2 linked regions of the Arabidopsis thaliana genome follow. The protein of the gene in region 1 interacts with the protein of each later gene in a pairwise test. Each region holds a gene or a part of one and is shown in the gene's direction. Other genes may lie near its edges.

Evidence for each region.
Region 2: the proteins of PLDALPHA1 (region 1) and ACBP1 interact in a two-hybrid assay, tested with the Arabidopsis thaliana proteins (one study listed by BioGRID).

What each region holds. Positions count from the first base shown.
Region 1 is NC_003074.8:5,328,342-5,334,265, forward strand, and holds PLDALPHA1 (phospholipase D alpha 1), read left to right. Parts: upstream 1-1,852; 5' UTR 1,853-2,078; intron 2,079-2,485; 5' UTR 2,486-2,493; coding exon 2,494-2,589; intron 2,590-2,712; coding exon 2,713-4,615; intron 4,616-4,699; coding exon 4,700-5,133; 3' UTR 5,134-5,404; downstream 5,405-5,924. Other genes in the region: AT3G15740 (RING/U-box superfamily protein), read right to left, coding at 5,538-5,924. UniProt on the Arabidopsis thaliana protein: Hydrolyzes glycerol-phospholipids at the terminal phosphodiesteric bond to generate phosphatidic acids (PA).
Region 2 is NC_003076.8:21,708,251-21,713,418, forward strand, and holds ACBP1 (acyl-CoA binding protein 1), read left to right. Parts: upstream 1-1,919; 5' UTR 1,920-2,246; coding exon 2,247-2,704; intron 2,705-3,090; coding exon 3,091-3,193; intron 3,194-3,315; coding exon 3,316-3,404; intron 3,405-3,607; coding exon 3,608-3,699; intron 3,700-3,780; coding exon 3,781-3,878; intron 3,879-3,964; coding exon 3,965-4,141; 3' UTR 4,142-4,364; downstream 4,365-5,168. Other genes in the region: GLT1 (NADH-dependent glutamate synthase 1), read left to right, coding at 1-271, 374-641, 771-1,028, 1,119-1,379. UniProt on the Arabidopsis thaliana protein: Binds medium- and long-chain acyl-CoA esters with very high affinity. Can interact in vitro with arachidonyl-CoA, barely with oleoyl-CoA, but not with palmitoyl-CoA.

The sequences.
Region 1 (5,924 bases):
TTGTGAACGGGCAGCGAATAAAGTAGCTCATATCATTACGCTTTCCCGATTCTAGTTCCTTGGTTTTATATGACGACGGTTATCTGTTGTGATTGATAAACCGGATCGTATAACTAATTAGTAATTCCTTTCAAACTTTTAGTTTGAAGAAGATGTTGAGCCAAAAAACATTTATATAATCTATCCGAAGAAACTTGTGTTTGCTTCTTAGGCCATCTTCAACGGTAAAATTAGGTGGATTATCTTAAAATATTGTTTTTTAATTATTATCATATAATATTATTATTTACTTAAATAATTATTCTGAAAATAATAATTTAACCTATTAAAATGTAACCTATTATTTACTTTTCTCTCTCTCCTACTTTATTATTATTTTATATTTTTTAGTTAGTGAAAAACCATACTAGAGACTACTGATGGAGATGTTCTTATCTTTTCTGTCTATTTTTGACTTTCATGATTCGCTTTTAGTTTCTTTTCTTCGGCTTCGCTTTTGGGTTTTCTATTTTAGCTTTTTTCTTTTTGCTTATAAGAAAAAAAAAAAAACTAATTATGTACTTATTGTAGTTTAATTATAGTAATATTCTTTTGATTTTTTTTCTTTTTTTTCCTACTAAACAGTTAAAGATTCACGTACTACTTATCAAATTCAGTTCAGACAGTCGGACAATATCAATAGGTGCACCTAAATTTCATTCCAAGTTTTACCCTACCACAAAAAAAAAAAATCATTCCAAGATACAGGCCTAAATACGTGTACAGAATGTTAAATCACCAGGCCCAATTATGGCCCATATTCAAATATCAATAGCACCTAAATTTCTAGTTTCTACGTCCCTTCTTCATTTTTTCCTTGGGTCAACTAAAATTCAAAAGTCCTATTTTCTAAAATAAGCTAATATAGAAGCAAAACAAAGGAATTGGGTTATTTTAAGTCCAGATTTTTCAGACAAGTCACCGGTGAGCGGTGGCTGCGTATCAGAAACCTTGCCGTGAGCATTGCTAAATAATAAACATAGATAGGGGAATAAGCTCCAAAATAAGCTCCCTTGTATCCTACCATTGTGTTACAATTTAGCATTACGCCGAGTTGCCAATACTGTCTTAATTTTCCCTTTGATCCCCATATATGAGACACCTCTGATCTGTTCTTCACCGCATTTTTATGATTGACGGTTTTGCTGATGGTTAGTACATTAGAACTTATTAGATACCAGAGAATGCAAATACATTGTATAATCCCCATGTGGCCACGTTCCGTTTATGAGGAGTAATATTTTATACAACTATCACATTCTTCTTTACCCAAAAAAAACGAAAAAAAAAACTACCCAATCTTATAGCGAAGATGTGTGAGATCCAATGATGAAGCAATTAAATTATTGCTAGTGAATTCATGTCATTATGCGAACACGTACTACTTGAGAAAAGTACACCATATAGTTTTCTTGTGATGGACGGTGAGGATTCAGCTTGGGAAACGATGTCGTAACGTTTGGATGCAGAACGTCGGGCGCACGATTTGGATATCTCTTTTTTTTTTTTGTCTCCCCTATCCTCAAGTCAGGGATTTTATTACAACTTTGAATATTTATTTCCTTTTTTTATGTCGGCCTTCTTAAAACTTTTCAAGATTTTCAATTAGTCACTAAACTTTCCATTTTATCTTTTTCACTCTATTATATAATTTTAGATGTAACGTAAAATATTACTATTAGGATGTGAGATAACATAATCCAACCACAATTATATCGTTATCTAGTAACATTAACTATATATTATAAGTTATAAATTGAAAGGAATCTCTTGAGAGTAACTATTTAGGGCCTAATTGTGAAACTAAAAACGTGTAGGGCTGAAACTAATAACAATTCGTACGTTGGGTCACTATTAAATCATCAAAGATCTGTAGAAAATAATGAAAAAGTGGCCCCACACGCTCCAATTAAATTACAGCAGCTCCACAAAGTAGCTCTTAAAGAGCTTCCATCACGGACCAGATCCCGAATTCTTCTTCTGACCACCGAACGATTGAGTTTCTCCGATCAGATCTCAGTTTCTGGGAATAATTCGAAGTTAGTATTTCTCTACTTCATCTCTATGAATCTCATTCATTTTATCTTTATGTTTCTCTTTACTTGTTTTGCGATTAAAACTCGTTTGATCATTTAGGTGGTTCTTTGTTTTGTGAGATAAGTGGAACTCGCTGACTTTTTTTTTTTTCTTTTTGGATAATCAACGATCGGGTTCATTTGCTATTGTCCTCTAGTGTTACACTGATACGATCTTTAGTTTTGAGTTAGATCAGTGACTTTAGTTTCACTATTCAACTAGTGTTCCTTGTTTTTAGGACAATACTGCGAAAATTTAGCTGCTCTAAAATTTTGATACCAGATCTTTGAGATTCGTAGATCTCGCTTTTCTTTTTTTTTAGTTTTTTCAGAAACTAATATTGTGTTCTGGTCAATTCTTATTGCTAAAGGTGAAAAAATGGCGCAGCATCTGTTGCACGGGACTTTACATGCTACCATCTATGAAGTTGATGCCCTCCATGGTGGTGGTGTTAGGCAAGGCTTCCTTGGCAAGGTATAATAAGATCCATTGTTATTGCATCATTTTTGCGCCAATCCTGACGTCTTATTTTGTAGTTCAAATTAGTCTGTGGACTAATACACAGTTTGATCTTTATTTTTCTGATGAAACTTTCAGATTCTGGCAAATGTAGAAGAGACGATTGGTGTTGGTAAAGGAGAAACACAGTTGTATGCGACGATTGATCTGCAAAAAGCTAGAGTTGGGAGAACCAGGAAGATCAAAAATGAACCTAAGAACCCAAAGTGGTATGAGTCGTTTCATATTTACTGTGCTCACTTGGCTTCTGATATCATCTTCACTGTTAAAGATGATAATCCCATTGGAGCTACCCTTATCGGAAGAGCTTACATTCCTGTTGATCAAGTCATTAACGGCGAGGAAGTGGATCAGTGGGTTGAGATCTTGGATAATGACAGAAACCCTATTCAGGGAGGATCAAAGATTCATGTCAAGCTTCAATATTTCCATGTTGAGGAGGATCGTAACTGGAACATGGGTATCAAAAGTGCCAAGTTCCCTGGAGTGCCATACACATTCTTCTCGCAGAGACAAGGCTGCAAAGTTTCTCTGTACCAAGATGCTCATATTCCAGACAACTTTGTCCCTAGAATTCCTCTCGCTGGAGGGAAGAACTATGAGCCTCAAAGATGTTGGGAGGATATTTTTGATGCTATTAGCAATGCAAAACACTTGATCTACATTACTGGTTGGTCTGTTTACGCTGAGATTGCTTTAGTGAGGGACTCGAGGAGGCCTAAGCCTGGAGGTGATGTGACCATTGGTGAGCTACTCAAGAAGAAGGCTAGTGAAGGTGTCAGGGTTCTTTTGCTTGTTTGGGATGACAGAACTTCTGTTGATGTGCTGAAGAAAGATGGGCTCATGGCTACTCATGATGAAGAGACCGAGAATTTCTTCAGGGGAAGTGATGTCCATTGTATTCTGTGCCCTCGTAACCCGGATGACGGTGGTAGCATAGTCCAAAGTTTGCAGATCTCTACTATGTTCACGCATCATCAGAAAATCGTTGTTGTGGACAGCGAGATGCCAAGCAGAGGAGGATCAGAAATGAGGAGAATTGTGAGTTTTGTTGGCGGTATTGATCTTTGTGATGGAAGATACGACACTCCGTTCCACTCCTTGTTCAGGACATTGGACACAGTCCACCATGATGACTTCCATCAACCTAACTTCACTGGTGCTGCTATCACTAAAGGTGGTCCAAGGGAGCCTTGGCATGACATTCACTCCCGTCTTGAAGGTCCAATTGCTTGGGATGTCATGTACAACTTCGAGCAGAGATGGAGCAAGCAGGGTGGTAAAGACATTCTGGTTAAGTTGAGAGATCTTAGTGATATTATTATCACCCCTTCTCCTGTTATGTTCCAAGAGGACCACGATGTGTGGAATGTCCAATTGTTTAGGTCCATTGATGGAGGAGCTGCTGCTGGGTTTCCCGAGTCGCCTGAAGCTGCTGCGGAAGCCGGGCTTGTAAGTGGGAAAGATAACATCATTGATAGGAGTATCCAAGATGCTTACATTCATGCAATCAGACGTGCTAAGGATTTCATCTACGTTGAAAACCAGTACTTCCTTGGGAGTTCTTTTGCTTGGGCAGCCGATGGTATTACTCCTGAGGACATCAATGCCCTGCACTTAATCCCAAAAGAGTTGTCGCTGAAGATAGTTAGCAAGATTGAGAAAGGAGAGAAGTTCAGGGTCTATGTTGTGGTTCCAATGTGGCCAGAAGGTCTCCCAGAGAGTGGATCAGTGCAAGCTATATTAGACTGGCAGAGGAGGACCATGGAGATGATGTACAAGGATGTGATTCAGGCTCTCAGGGCCCAGGGTCTTGAGGAAGATCCAAGAAACTATCTGACATTCTTCTGTCTTGGAAACCGTGAGGTCAAGAAAGATGGAGAGTATGAGCCTGCTGAGAAACCAGACCCCGACACTGATTACATGAGGGCGCAAGAAGCACGCCGTTTCATGATTTACGTCCACACCAAAATGATGATCGGTAAGTTCACATTTCAACGGAAAAAAACTTGAGAAGTATACATAAATGTTGTGCCTGATTCATTTGATGAAATCCATTTTGCAGTTGACGATGAATACATTATCATTGGGTCTGCTAACATCAACCAGAGGTCAATGGACGGTGCAAGAGACTCTGAGATAGCAATGGGAGGTTATCAACCACATCACTTGTCCCATAGACAACCAGCTCGTGGCCAGATCCATGGGTTTCGTATGTCACTCTGGTACGAACACCTGGGAATGCTCGATGAAACCTTCCTCGATCCATCAAGCTTGGAATGCATTGAGAAAGTTAACCGCATTTCTGACAAGTATTGGGACTTTTACTCAAGTGAGTCACTCGAACATGACCTTCCTGGTCACTTGCTCCGCTACCCGATCGGTGTAGCCAGCGAAGGCGACATCACTGAGCTTCCAGGATTTGAATTCTTCCCGGACACAAAGGCCCGTATCCTCGGCACCAAATCAGACTACCTGCCTCCAATCCTTACAACCTAATCTCACTAAGCATGTCAAGTAATGATCTCTCTCTCCCTCTCTGCTTTGCTGCTGTTGTAGCTTTGAATAAAACTTGAGTGTCTACCTTTAGAATTAAGAAGTCAAATGGTTGTTATGATGATGCACTTCTTTACCCCTTTGGTTTTTATATTCGTACAATGACGTGGTGAGAGAATGTAGCTTTGTGATCTTGTTTTGTTGTTGTTATGTACCTTTGGACTTATGAATCTTATATCTGATCCTTTTCTTTTTATTTAGTGTGTTTCACATCAAAGTTTAAACAAAAATAGCAATGAACTAGGTAAAACATACTTCATTAGAAAAGTGAAAGTGACAATCTAGAGATAAAGCATGAAACTAGGGTTCATATAGCACAAAACTAATACAAAAGGGGTTTTAAAGTTTTAAGCCGGAAACAGGGCACGACACACCGGACAAATCCCACTGTTCCTAAGCCATTCCTCTCCACAAGTACGATGAAACACATGCGAACACGGCATTCGACCCGCTTCCACATCTGACCCAACTCGGATATTATCCATGCATATCACACAATAGCCTTCATTCTCAACAACAAGCGTCTCCAAGTGCATCTCCACCGCCTCATCGTTCGCTGGAGCAACCGCAAGTTGCACTTGCACATCTACGTGATCATCTTCACCGGGAAACCTCGAGACAGTAACACCTATCTTTACTTGTACCCTCTCCACGTCTTTCGCACCATCTTTCTTCAAATCCTTAATCTCATCAGCAAGAGTGTTAACAATAGCAGAATAAGGAGGGACTTGGAG
Region 2 (5,168 bases), on another chromosome or scaffold:
GGTTAGCTGCGGCTGACCAGCTGAACAAAATGGGCCATTTAGTAACCGTGTATGAGCGCTCGGACAGAATTGGTGGGCTGATGATGTATGGAGTACCAAACATGAAGACTGACAAAATTGACGTCGTTCAACGGCGGGTTGATCTTATGACCAAAGAAGGTATCAACTTTGTGGTCAATGCCAATATTGGAAAGGACCCATCTTACTCCCTTGATGGACTTAAGGAAGAGAATGATGCAATCGTTCTTGCTGTTGGTTCCACAAAACCAAGGTAATATTTTGTTTCAAACAATGCTGAATTCCTATTTATGTTACCAGACGTTCAAATGGATTATGGTGAACTAACCGAGACATTATTGGGGTAATTTTGCAGAGATCTTCCAGTGCCTGGTCGTGATCTATCTGGTGTTCACTTTGCCATGGAGTTTCTTCATGCAAACACCAAAAGTTTACTTGACAGCAATCATGAGGATGGCAATTACATTTCTGCAAAAGGGAAAAAGGTTGTTGTTATTGGTGGAGGTGATACCGGCACAGATTGCATCGGAACATCTATCCGCCATGGATGTACCAACATTGTAAACCTAGAACTTCTTCCTCAGCCACCCTCAACAAGAGCTCCTGGAAACCCTTGGCCACAGGTTTGTTTCAGATCTTCTACACTCAATCCTTTTAGCAACTTCTTCAAGATTTTTGCATCCATTGGATTAAAAAGAGTTGTGAGCAAGGTTGGATATTGTTGATTTTAATGAGCTTCCGTGTGAATACAGTGGCCTCGTGTATTCCGTATTGACTACGGACATCAAGAAGCTACCACCAAATTCGGAAAAGACCCTAGGACCTATGAGGTCTTAACGAAGAGGTTCATAGGAGATGACAATGGAAACGTGAAGGGGCTTGAACTTGTGCGTGTGAGTTGGGAGAAGGATGAAACCGGGAGGTTCCAGTTCAAGGAGATCGAAGGCTCTGAGGAAATCATTGAAGCAGACCTCGTTTTCTTGGCCATGGGTTTCCTTGGACCTGAGCCAGTAAGTGATTCCCGTTGTGTACCCTCTTCTTATATATTGTGGGTCTTGTGGCAATGATTTAAAACCAATTGCTTGTTTTTGTTTTTACAGACACTTGCTGAGAAGCTAGGTCTCGAATGTGACAACAGGTCAAACTTTAAGGCCGAGTATGGCCGGTTTTCCACAACCGTGGAAGGTGTTTTCGCAGCAGGTGATTGTCGGAGAGGCCAGTCTTTGGTTGTCTGGGCTATCTCAGAAGGACGTCAAGCTGCAGATCAGGTAGACAAATTCCTCACCAAAACGGATGATGACGAAGACGCCAAGCTACAACAAGACCTTAACCAGATGAAACACAACACTATCACAAACTGAGGTAAAAGAAAGCCTTACTCATCTGAAGCAAAAGTCGAGAGAGAAAGACAACTGATGTTACTCTTTTAGAGGACACACAGGCGTAAAGGACCGACTTATGGCAGAGATGAAGGAAGAGAGTTGCAGAGGAAAAGTACCGAACTTGATGATTTAGTAGAGAGAAGTAAAAGTTTAGGTTTGTTTTTGTTTATTATCGTCCATAAAGTAATAATGATTCATAAGTACATTCTCTTTGTAGGATTTCAGTAGCTTTCTTTTGTTAAAGCTTTCTGAAATTGAAAGCCTTTTGTTTTTTCTCTATGGCTGTTTCTAAGTTTGAATTTTAAGGAATTGTAATGCAGTTCCTGCTTCTTGTTTTTGCCCTCTTTGTGTTCTTTCATATTATTTATGGTGGTGTAAACTGTAAACAATGTTAGGAATCATAAGACTTGCTCAGTAAAATAGTGAAAAAAATGATCTTCAATTACACAGTGAAGATTGAGGTATGTAAAACCGGTATGTAGTTTGTCTCCAACAAATTTCTTCATTTTTTCTCGGTCCCAACCAGTTGGTAGATGAAAAGCGGTCCAATTAACAAACGGATTCGTCAGTTGTCTCTCGTCGCAACCATTCAATCCTACGTGTAATTCCTCAGTTGTCTCTGGTCTTCAACAAAAGACAAGCCCACAAAGAGAAAACAAAAAAAAAGTAAAGAAAAAGAAAATTGTGAAGCGGTGAAAACAAGAGTTCCAAAAAGGTGGCTCCTTTTTGTTTCTGGAGATGCGTTATTGTGACCCTTCTTTGAAATTTAGGGTTCATTTTCTCAGATTTCGAGTTCGTTGTGTTTGAATCTCTATTGGGTTTACTTTCTTATTCGATTTGGGGGAAATGGCTGATTGGTATCAGCTTGCACAGTCTATAATCTTTGGTTTGATCTTCGCTTACCTTCTCGCTAAGCTAATCTCTATCCTCCTCGCTTTTAAAGACGAGAATCTCTCACTCACTCGTAACCACACGACTCAATCGGAGTATGAGAACTTGCGAAAGGTCGAAACTTTAACTGGGATTAGCGGCGAGACTGATTCTCTTATAGCTGAGCAAGGTAGCTTGAGAGGTGATGAAGATGAATCAGATGATGATGATTGGGAAGGTGTCGAAAGTACAGAACTTGATGAGGCATTTAGTGCTGCTACGGCTTTTGTTGCTGCTGCTGCATCGGATAGGCTTTCGCAGAAAGTTTCTAATGAGTTGCAACTTCAGCTTTATGGATTGTATAAAATTGCTACTGAAGGACCTTGTACTGCTCCTCAACCATCAGCTCTTAAAATGACTGCTCGTGCCAAGTGGTTTGTCTAACACTCTTATTGATTCTCTGATTCAAATGTTTGGGACTGTGAAAGATGATTGCTTGATCATGTTTACTTGTGATGTACTGATGTTTCTTGATCATGGATGTATATTATTTTGATTTCACCAAGTTCGTATCTTTCATTGCTAATGTATGGAAAGGATTGCTTTTGTTGGTGTATTGATTAGTGATCTGATTCAAATCTTATGACTGTGAAGATTGTTACTTAATCATGTTTACTTGTGATGTACTGATTATTCTTCATCCTGGATGTATCTTGCTTTGTGTGAGTACCGAAAGGATTTGCTTTTGTTGTTTTGTTGATTGGTAACTTAGGGATGCATTTTGATCGACTGAGATTTGTTATGATCTTTTTTGTTCTAGGCAAGCATGGCAGAAATTGGGTGCTATGCCTCCTGAGGAAGCGATGGAGAAGTATATCGACCTTGTTACTCAGCTTTACCCAGCTTGGGTTGAAGGTGGCTCGGTTAGTTGTCTTCTTACCTGCTTCTGTTATTCCCATTTCTTTGGACTGTTTATGGATGGTCTGTTTTCGTTCTTAAATCTGTCTTTATTTCTTGGCTTGTTTGCTTCGTTGCGGACTATTAGAAACGAAGAAATCGGAGTGGTGAGGCTGCAGGCCCCATGGGACCGGTTTTTAGCTCATTGGTGTACGAAGAGGAATCTGACAATGAGTTGTAAGGTTCCTAAGCAATTAGTTACAGATTCATCTATGAACTTTTGGTTTTCTTTTCTCAGTTTCTCTATATGACTAGCTGACTAGATCAGAGAAGGAATGTATATATCATAATACTCACCTTAGGTAGATCAAAGAATCATGTGTTAGTTTAAATCATAGTAGAAGCTCTGTTCATTCTTGCGTTCTTACTCCATGTTCCAGGAAGATTGACGCCATACACGCCTTTGCTAGAGAAGGAGAAGTCGAGAATCTATTGAAATGCATAGAAAATGGCATACCCGTAAATGCAAGAGGTTAGTAGTCTTGTATCATTTTCACAGAATGTTCGGATCTGGTTTGGAAACTTAACAGTTTCTCCATCTTGGAAATGTCAGATAGTGAAGGTCGAACACCACTGCATTGGGCTATAGACCGTGGCCATCTTAACGTTGCTGAAGCTCTGGTTGATAAGAACGCAGATGTGAATGCTAAAGTAAATAAATAACCAAAACCCCCTAAACTAATTCTTTCTCTCAATTACAGACTTTTATGTTTTTGTCGCTGACAAACTTTGTGCAGGACAATGAAGGCCAAACCTCTCTACACTATGCTGTTGTGTGCGAAAGAGAAGCACTCGCCGAGTTTCTGGTGAAGCAGAAAGCTGATACAACCATTAAAGACGAAGACGGAAACTCGCCTCTTGATCTCTGTGAATCAGAATGGTCTTGGATGCGAGAGAAGAAGGATTCCAATTAGTGTTTTTTAAGTCTTTAAAATTGTGTGTCAAAGCTAGATGCTTGTGTTTTTCTTACATTTCCTCTGAGCCTCTTTGCTTCCTCTTAAGCTTATGTTTTAACATACAACAACACAAGTTACATATGATATAGTAGCTCTAGTTTTTATTGGTTACTATATTGAACCCAGAGAGATCATCATCATCAATCATCATAACTCAATAATAGTTTTTTTTTTGTTAGTATAATGTTTCTCTCTTTCGTTCGTGACCCTTTCATGTTTTTTCAGCCATCTGAATCATTATTATCATACCTGTAAAACAATTTTGTTGATTACTTGTAAAATTTATAAGTATTTTAAATATGATACAAATTGTACCTTCGGAATAAGAAAAGAAAAAAAATCTTCTTCTTCGCATCTCGCTGTAAAACAATCCGGACCGTTGATTAATTAACGATGAGAATATATAAGGTGGGGTTCAGATAAGGACCACCCAACACGCGATGTACGACATAATCACTCCAGATTATATCAATTCTTTAATCAGAAATATATTTTTAGTGTGCAAAAATCATAAAGAAAAATATTTTCCCTTTTTATATATATATTGGGTAATTCAGATTTTTTTCTATTTATGTTTTTATTTGAAAAAAATAAGATACACTGAACAAACAATTATGATTGGAAACAAATTTTCATATTTAGAAGATTTATACAACTTTTTTTTAATTGGGTAATTTTAAAAGATATTTTCCTATATATAGTTTTTATAAAAATATTAGGATACACTGAACAAAACCTAAATATACAATTGAGTACAAATATATATAAGTTTGGAAAACAATTTCAAAATTAATAGATTTACATAATTTGTGTTCAAAACAGTTTTTTTATTTGTTTATATAAATATTTGGTTAAAAGTTTAATAATAAAATTTAAAGTCCATCTTCACATCCGATTCTTCTCTTCTCTTCTCTCTCTCTCTTCCCTTTTTCGCTGGAACTGATTTTTTTCTTCTCTCTCTCTCTCTCTCTTCCTTCTGGGCTTC